Macaca mulatta: one gene and its partner. Each later gene encodes a partner of the first gene's protein in a complex. Links are inferred from orthologs where the notes say so. Each region holds a gene or a part of one and is shown in the gene's direction. Other genes may lie near its edges.

What was found.
Region 2: the proteins of WDPCP (region 1) and FUZ are in contact, whole or in part, in a cryo-EM structure (PDB 7Q3D), measured with the Homo sapiens proteins. The link is inferred for Macaca mulatta from reciprocal best matches to the Homo sapiens genes WDPCP and FUZ. Residues at the interface, in NP_056994.3 of Homo sapiens: Arg55, Ile57, Asn75, Lys78, Leu82, Glu418, Asp419, Arg420, Leu421; in NP_079405.2 of Homo sapiens: His293, Glu372, Glu373, Pro374, Arg379, Gln397, Pro399, Thr400, His401, Gly402, Ser405, Leu406.

What each region holds. Positions count from the first base shown.
Region 1 is NC_133418.1:61,313,967-61,317,783, forward strand, and holds part of WDPCP (WD repeat-containing and planar cell polarity effector protein fritz homolog), read left to right. Parts: intron 1-569; coding exon 570-684; intron 685-2,902; coding exon 2,903-3,036; intron 3,037-3,817. UniProt on the Homo sapiens protein: Probable effector of the planar cell polarity signaling pathway which regulates the septin cytoskeleton in both ciliogenesis and collective cell movements.
Region 2 is NC_133424.1:62,274,135-62,278,084, reverse strand, and holds the end of FUZ (protein fuzzy homolog), read left to right. Parts: intron 1-556; coding exon 557-754; exon of another isoform or gene 755-756; intron 757-874; coding exon 875-970; intron 971-1,285; coding exon 1,286-1,392; exon of another isoform or gene 1,393-1,393; intron 1,394-1,470; coding exon 1,471-1,535; intron 1,536-1,609; coding exon 1,610-1,687; intron 1,688-2,798; coding exon 2,799-3,022; 3' UTR 3,023-3,306; downstream 3,307-3,950. Other genes in the region: AP2A1 (AP-2 complex subunit alpha-1), read right to left, coding at 3,415-3,492, 3,914-3,950. UniProt on the Homo sapiens protein: Probable planar cell polarity effector involved in cilium biogenesis. May regulate protein and membrane transport to the cilium.

The sequences.
Region 1 (3,817 bases):
TTTAAAAATTTAACATTTTACTTAATTGCCTTGATTTACATGTATTTTAATATTTTAGACTGACAAGATCTTTATTTTTAGAAGTAGTGTTTAACTTCCAAATAAATGCATAACATTAGCTGTTTATATTGTAATAGTGGCATATTTTCTATATTTAATGTGTAGCAATGACTATTCAAACCTCAAGAAATGTTTTAGTTTATAATAGTAATTTTTCAAAATATCTCAATAGAATACATTACATTTTCTGAATCCAGAACAAAGCAGTTATTTCAGCGTATGTGCTTTCTAAGTATTTAGAAGATTAGATTTCTAATAAACATGGACTAAATTAGGTTTCTTCATGTAGCTTTAATCAATGCACTTATTGTGTTGCATCCTTTAGCCACCTTTCTCTTTTTACCACAATGTCAATAATTGTTTTTCAGTGAAGACAATTCTTTATAATTTCATAGTGTAGATGCATGTGTAAAATATCTGTATAAGTTGTACATTTGGAGAGAGGTTTTTTAAAGATTCTAAATCACAGCATGTCTTCCTTCCCATCTCCCCTGCTTACCTGGTTTTAGCTCCTCTTTGGTTCAGGTGTGCTGGTGTCGCTAAGCCTTTCTGGGCCGCAGCTGGAAAAAGTGGTGATTGACAGAAGCCTGGTGGGGAAGCTCATCTCAGACACCATCAGTGATGGTAATTACCCCCATGTGCAAATCAATTGCCTACATTAACAGTGGGGCAGGAGAAATAGTGTGTCAACAGGTAGACTAATTATTACCACTGGGGACTTGCAAACAAAACAAGTAATTGCTTGTAATAGCACACTTACCCCCTGGGACCAATACAAGTTTTGACTAATATTTAATATCAAAGTTTTTTTTTCTTCTTGTCAAGTGTTAAGCTTATGTTCTGAGTTGTTTTTTACTTTTTCCTTAAAAGAAGTGAGCATTGTTTTCAAAATAGGGTTTTGTTTTCATTCTTTCAAAGTTAGTTCTCTATAACTGGTACTTCAAGTATATATTTCATTTCCAAATGAATTTTGAATAAATAACACAAATATACCAACACAGCCACCAGTAAACAATTGATGCTTTGGCTCTCATAGGAAGATTCCTTGTTACTAAAATCTTACGAATACTAACTTTTGAGAGATTTTGGGCTATATTTTCTAAATAATAAAGATCAATGCCTAATATACTGGATAATCAGGTCCTATTAAGTGACATCACAATCAGTCTGTAATTGGTACAAAGCACATAAGAAAAAGATATTAAGCCAGTTATTGAATAGGAAGGATACTGATATTTATTGAGCCAAAAGGCTCTGTATGCTGGGTTCCTAACCTACCTATTTAATACAAGAAAACAATTGTATAAGGTATAGTTGTTTCCATTTTTACACATAAGAAAACTGAAGCTGAGCTACTAAGGAACATGTCCAGAGTTATATAGCTAGAAAGTGACTGAGATGAGATTTGAATACAGGTTCTGGCTGCGAAGCCCATTTTCTTTTCACTATACCGTGCTGACTCCTGAATTTTTAAAGATTATATTCTTTTTTTCAAGGTAAAAAGGTTGAGAAACATTGTATTATCATGATAGATTGAAAATGGTCAGTATCTTAAATTTAGTAATCAAAGGAAGTATGTCCTAGTGGAAAGGACAGAGGTGAGAATAAAGAAATCTTCCGTCTGCTGTGTTCTCTCACTAGCTACCTCTGAATAAATCAGACAATCACGTCATCGTGAAGAAAAGAACTCTGCAGGATGGCCATAATTAGCAACATTACTGATAGTAATAAGCTGGGGGTAGGATTGTAAGCATGCCATTTCCCCTTCCTTACAGGAGTAAGGTGCTGAGGAAGCTTCCCTGTAGAAGAGGTTCCATTTCCATATGTCTAATTATTGACCCCTTCATTGGTACTGCAAATAAAATACTGGCTCTGATGATTTTGTTATATTGATGCTCCTCAATGAGAAATAAAAGGAGACTTTTCAGCACAATTTGTGTCTCTGAGTTATCCCTTTTCACGTATTTCTTTTATTTGTACCCAAAATAATACACTCTCATGGGAACGTGGTAACAATGTGATTTCTTGGCAGTTCTCCAGATTCTCTTGTAATTGTGTAGATCCACTGTTGGTCACTGTTTGCATGGTCAGGGGTGTGAAAGTAAAGGAAAATGTATAAAACATTTAATAATTTCTTTATGCTAGGAACAATGCAAAGCATTTCTCAAATTCCTGTAACATATTTTTATCAATAATTTTATGTAACATCAATAGCCCTTTATATAATCCACAAATATTAGTTATTTACCTACTTGTATGCTTAATGACAAAGCTATAGAAATTGCTAATTTTCATTATTAAATATTAATTTATGTAATGTACATATTGGGTATAATATGCTTTATTTCATCCAGCTTGTATACCCCTAAAAGAAGATTCACTGATGAAAATTTTTTAAATAAAGAGACTGGTTGAGAACACTGATCAGTATCCCCTAATAAATCCACTTTATCCTCAGATGGTTTCTATCATATAAACATAGGATTAAAGTCTTAGCACAAATAAAATGGAATGTTTTCATCTCTACATTCAGGTGTGAAATAGTTTTTTAAAAATATCTTTATAGCCCTGGTTCTAAATACATCTCATCCAGTGGTGGTCCCCAAACATCAGTGTATATTGAAATAGTCACAGGAAAAAAAAATCATACATGATTAGATTGATAATTATTGTTTATTCCTAATATCTTTAATATTTTTATAAAATGCTATAATGATATTCAGGAGACTTTAGTGATTTCAATTAATATGTATGTTTGAAAATAGCTTTTTGTAACATTTCAGTGGAAAAAATCTATCCATTATTTTATTCTAACTTGGTATTATCTAATTATGGTTTTTAGCTCTTCTCACAGACAGTTTTATCATCTTATCATTTTTGGCACAAAACAAGCTATGTTTTATTCAGTTTACCAAGAAGATGGATTCTTCTGATGTAAACAAAAGACTGGAAAAACTCTCAGCCTTGGATTATAAGGTAGATATTTTGATTTATATAGTCATATTATTAATTATTAAGGTATATGAAAGTATCTCATAAGTTGGTATTCTGCTCATTATTCTTAAACATTCTGGATTTCAGAAACACTGGAAATATTACAGGATTAAGCTTAATTAACTGCAAACAGTGGCCATTCTAAGTTTTCTTTTATACTCTCACTATGGGGGGATGTCTAACAATGGCATGTTTGGAGCAATTTATATAGTATTTATAGACGTCAAAGACAGATAATAGAGGCAAGTTACACTTTGAAAATGGTTTTTGTACTAGTGGTAGTATATATATTCTCATTTTCCCGTAAGACCCCATATCATCTTTCTAGGGTAGGATAGCTGCTCTGGTTTCCACTTCACAAGAAAAGAAAGAAAGAAGAAGGCACTTTCAAAGGTTAATAGAAAAGTGTAATAAATAAGGAGGGGGAAGAACCCTCCCCTTCCAACTATAACTGGACAAAATGCAAAAAGAAATCTCCTTCATGTGTTAGTATCTCTCCCTTCACTAACTCCAGGTAATTTGTTTCCTTCCTGTAGCAGGGGCTTTACATCTGTTAAGGCAGAATTCTTATTTTAAGTGATGTGTTTAAGTTTTGCCACATTACATTTTAACTGCTGGGAAGGCATATTCTCTGCTAGGATGAGTATCTAATACATTTTCCAGGCTGTTTCAGTTCAAGGCCTCTTTTCAGCAATGACTTGTGTTTGCAAGATTGATCCAACCTCTGTGATGTGGATTTGAGACAGTTCACTGTTCACTGGGA
Region 2 (3,950 bases), on another chromosome or scaffold:
CCTCAGCCTGGTGTTTGAAGGCCTGTGGCACGTGGCACCCCCTAACCTGTTGCTAAATCCACAATCTACCTCCATCCTGCTGCCTCACAGACCCCAGAGATCCCAACGACTTTCCAACCTTGGTACCTGCTCTTCCTCCTGTCTCTCAGATCTCTAGCTACCCCTACTTAAATACTGCTCTTGCTGACTTGCCTGGTGTGGGCGCCTCCCAGCAGTGTGACTCTCAGCAGGTGACTTGGCTTCTCTACATTGCTGATGGTGCCTACTCAGCATGTAACAGGCCTTGATGAACAGTAGCTGCTGTGGTTACATCATTAGCTTCAGTTTGCACACTCAGGCTAGGTGTGTAATCAGACTTCACAGTGTGAGTTGGGGATGTGACTTCGTATGAAGGTGAGGGAACTCAGGCTCAGAGAGGGTGAGACGCAGGAGCATGGCCACTCCACGAGCTTGGGGCTGGCTGTGGGTTTACTCCCCATTCCCTGCCCACCGGGGAAGTCGCTGCCAACCCCTACGCCTGTCTGCGACTCCCAGTTCTCCTGCCTCCCTTACCCAGGAAGCCCTCTCCGGGTTCGCGGAGGCCACGGGCACGGCATTCGTCAGTCTGGTGGTGTCGGGCCGGGTGGTGGCAGCAACGGAAGGTTGGTGGCGGCTGGGGACGCCCGAGGCCGTGCTGCTCCCCTGGCTGGTGGGGTCCCTGCCGCCGCAGACCGCTCGCGACTACCCGGTGTACCTGCCGCACGGGAGCCCCACGGTGAGTGGGTGGGGCGGACGGGGCAGAGGGATGTGACCTGGGGGCCGAGTCGCTAGGAAGCGGGATCTGCGATGGAAAGGGGCCGGGCCGCGGTCAGCCCCAGCCTGTGCCCTGCTTCAGGTCCCACACCGGCTCCTGACCCTGACACTGCTGCCGAGCCTGGAGCTGTGTCTACTCTGCGGGCCAAGCCCACCCCTCAGCCAGTTGTATCCACAGGTGAACCTGCGCCACGTCCCGCTTTCCCCCTTAGGACACCCTGTACCTGCAAGGCCCTTTCCAACCACCCTGCCCTGCCAGCGGCTTCTTTCCCCAGCCCCGCCCCTTCTGGACTGCGCTCCAGTCATTCACCTTCCCCGCAAGATCGGCCACCCCCGCGCGTCCTCCGTCCTTCCAGGCCTCGCCCCTTCCCTTGTCCCTTCTGCCCTCCGCCCTCCACTGTTCTCGTAGGCCCCGCCCCTCCCGATTGACCACGCCCCTATCGTGCACTCCCCCGCCGGCCCCGCCTTCCCATAATGACCACGCCCCCTGCAGCTTCTGGAGCGCTGCTGGCAGCCACTGCTGGACCCGTTGCGGGCCTGTCTGCCGCTGGGACCCCGAGCGCTGCCCAGTGGCTTCCCCCTTCACACAGACATCCTCGGGTAAGGCTCGGATGGAGGGAGTGGGTTGGGGATCATGTCCTCTTCCCCAACCATGACATTCCCTTCCCTTTCCCACAGGCTGCTGCTCCTCCACCTGGAACTGAAACGCTGCCTCTTCACCGTGGAGCCCTTGGGGGATAAAGGTGACTGAGGACAGGGGCAGGGGCAGGAGGAGCGTGGGCCGGGGAGGGGCTCTGCATCACTGCCTTTTCCTCAGCAGAGCCTTCACCAGAACAGCGCCGGCGCCTCCTCCGAAACTTCTATACCCTGGTCACCTCCACGCACTTCCCACCAGGTCAGCGGCAGGCACAGTGCTCCCACTGCGCAGGCGGGGACACTGAGTCTCTGGTCACGCAGAGTGGGAGTAGGAGGTGGGGTTGGAGGAACCGGACGAACCCAGCATGCACTGGGCCATAGGGCTGTGGTTTTTCTTGAGATCTGAGATTTGATGCAGATGGGAAGGGCGATCCTCTTTAGCAATACACATGGCAAACACGGCAGCAACACAGGAGCTCCAGTAGCCTTTTCCAGGAGGGAAGGGAGGGGAAGGGAGGTCCCTGCCTGGCTTCAGAACCTCCTAGATCATAGTTAACAATAGTTAACAGTGAGACCTCACCTCTTCCCAGTGCCTTTACATGTAATGAAAGAATGAAATCACTTTATCCTCACAAGCGAGGACTATCCTGTTACCTCATCATTCCCATATTACAGATGAGAAAACGGAGGCTCAGCTTATGAGTGGCACAGCCATATTCGAACACAGGGGATCTGGCTCCCATATCCACACGGTCCAGCACTCTGCACTACTGCTGAAAGCACAGACTTTGCTGATAGGCTTGGGGGATGGGGCAGGTTTTCACCGATGCTGGGTTAGAAAGGAAAAATTATTGTAAAACCCATAAAGGCCCAGAGAGACAAAGGGAGGGCCCTGGGATGGCGCTATGACCCCAGTGAAGCCCGGATGAATGCAGCACAGTGGTCAAGTGCTCCATCTGGGGGGCTGCACCCCTTCTTAGCTGTGCGACTCCACCTCTCCCTGGCCCCTGCCTGCTTCCCTCCACCCACCTCATGCAGTGGGGCGGGTGGGCTCCTGGAAAAGGCTACTGGAGCTCCTGTGTTTCTGCCGTGTTTGCCATGTGTATTGCTAAGAGGATTGCCTGCAGCTGCACAGTTTCCCCAGGAAAATGGGGGCCAAGGCTGAGAAAGAGGACGAGGGTGAGCTGAGAGCATCATGGTCTTCAAGTTGCTGACAGCTTGCTAGAACCCCGAGGCCCTGCCCTGGCAGAAGGCTCCCAAAACCTGTGCTCAGAGACCCCACGCGTTCAGAACTTGGGCCCAGGATGTGGTGTGGCTTCCAAAGGTTAGCATGCTACTTGTCACCTCAGTGCCCCCTGTTCTTTCCCCAGAGCCAGGGCCACCAGGGAAGACAGAAGATGAGGTCTACCAGGCCCAGCTGCCCAGAGCCTGCTACCTGGTGTTGGGGACTGAGGAACCAGGCAAAGGAGTGCGTCTGGTGGCCCTGCAGCTGGGGGTTCGGCGGCTGCTGCTGCTGCTGTCTCCCCAGAGTCCCAGCCATGGGCTGCGAAGCCTAGCCACCCACACTCTGCATGCCCTCACCCCACTTCTTTGACTACCTAGCAGTGGGTGATGGACACAGACATGGGGCTGTTAGCGTCTCTCTGTTTATTCGCTCACAATAATACACAGCCCCTGGATGGGGAGGGGGTAGGAGGGGCTACAACAGGGTGGGGTGGGAGGGGAGGAGGCATCCACTTTCCTTGCCCCTCTCCCCTCTGTGCTTGGGAGGGGGAAGGGAGGGAGGGGGCTCCCCCTAACCCCCCAGAATGTAAACAGCAGCAGATGAACAAAAATAAAAATACAAAAGGCCGGAGGAAGGTCCCAGGCATCCCCCAACCCCTGGCGTCTTCTCTGTCACCAGTGGAGGTCCCCCATCCACCAAAGCTGCCTCAGTCCAAGGGGCTGCCCAGTGCCGGCCACATCCCCGGGGGCAGAGTCCAGGGCTCAGAACTGCTGTGCCAGCAGCTCACACAGGTGACGGGAGACGGGCTCCTTGCTGGTGCGCAGGGTCAGCCGATACATCTGGGTGGGGACATTGGGGGCAGAACTCAGAGAAGATGGGGAGCCCAGGGAAGTGGGGACACAAGGGAGATAGAAGAAAGAAGGATAAAGGGGCCAGAAAAGTGATACAAGACACAGGAGAGGAGAATGTAAGAATGAAATCAACGGAGGAGCCAGAAAGGAGGGAAATTATAAATGAGAAGAGAAAGGTGGAAACGATATGGAAAGGTAGAAATCAGGGAGGGACAGGAAGAGGAGAGGAAGACCAGAGGTTGGAGACAGGAGAGAAGATTGATGGATAAAGAGGAGGAAAAGTGGACAAAGATGCGAGAGGAGGAGGGTCAAAGGGGGGACGTGAATTGAACAGTGAGGCAGGAAGAGTGGGCACAGAGATGACAGGTGGCCTTCCTGCCGACCTCAGGCCTCCCACAGCAGCACTCACCTGGGCCTGGGCGTTGGGTTCCAGCCGGAGCAGACAG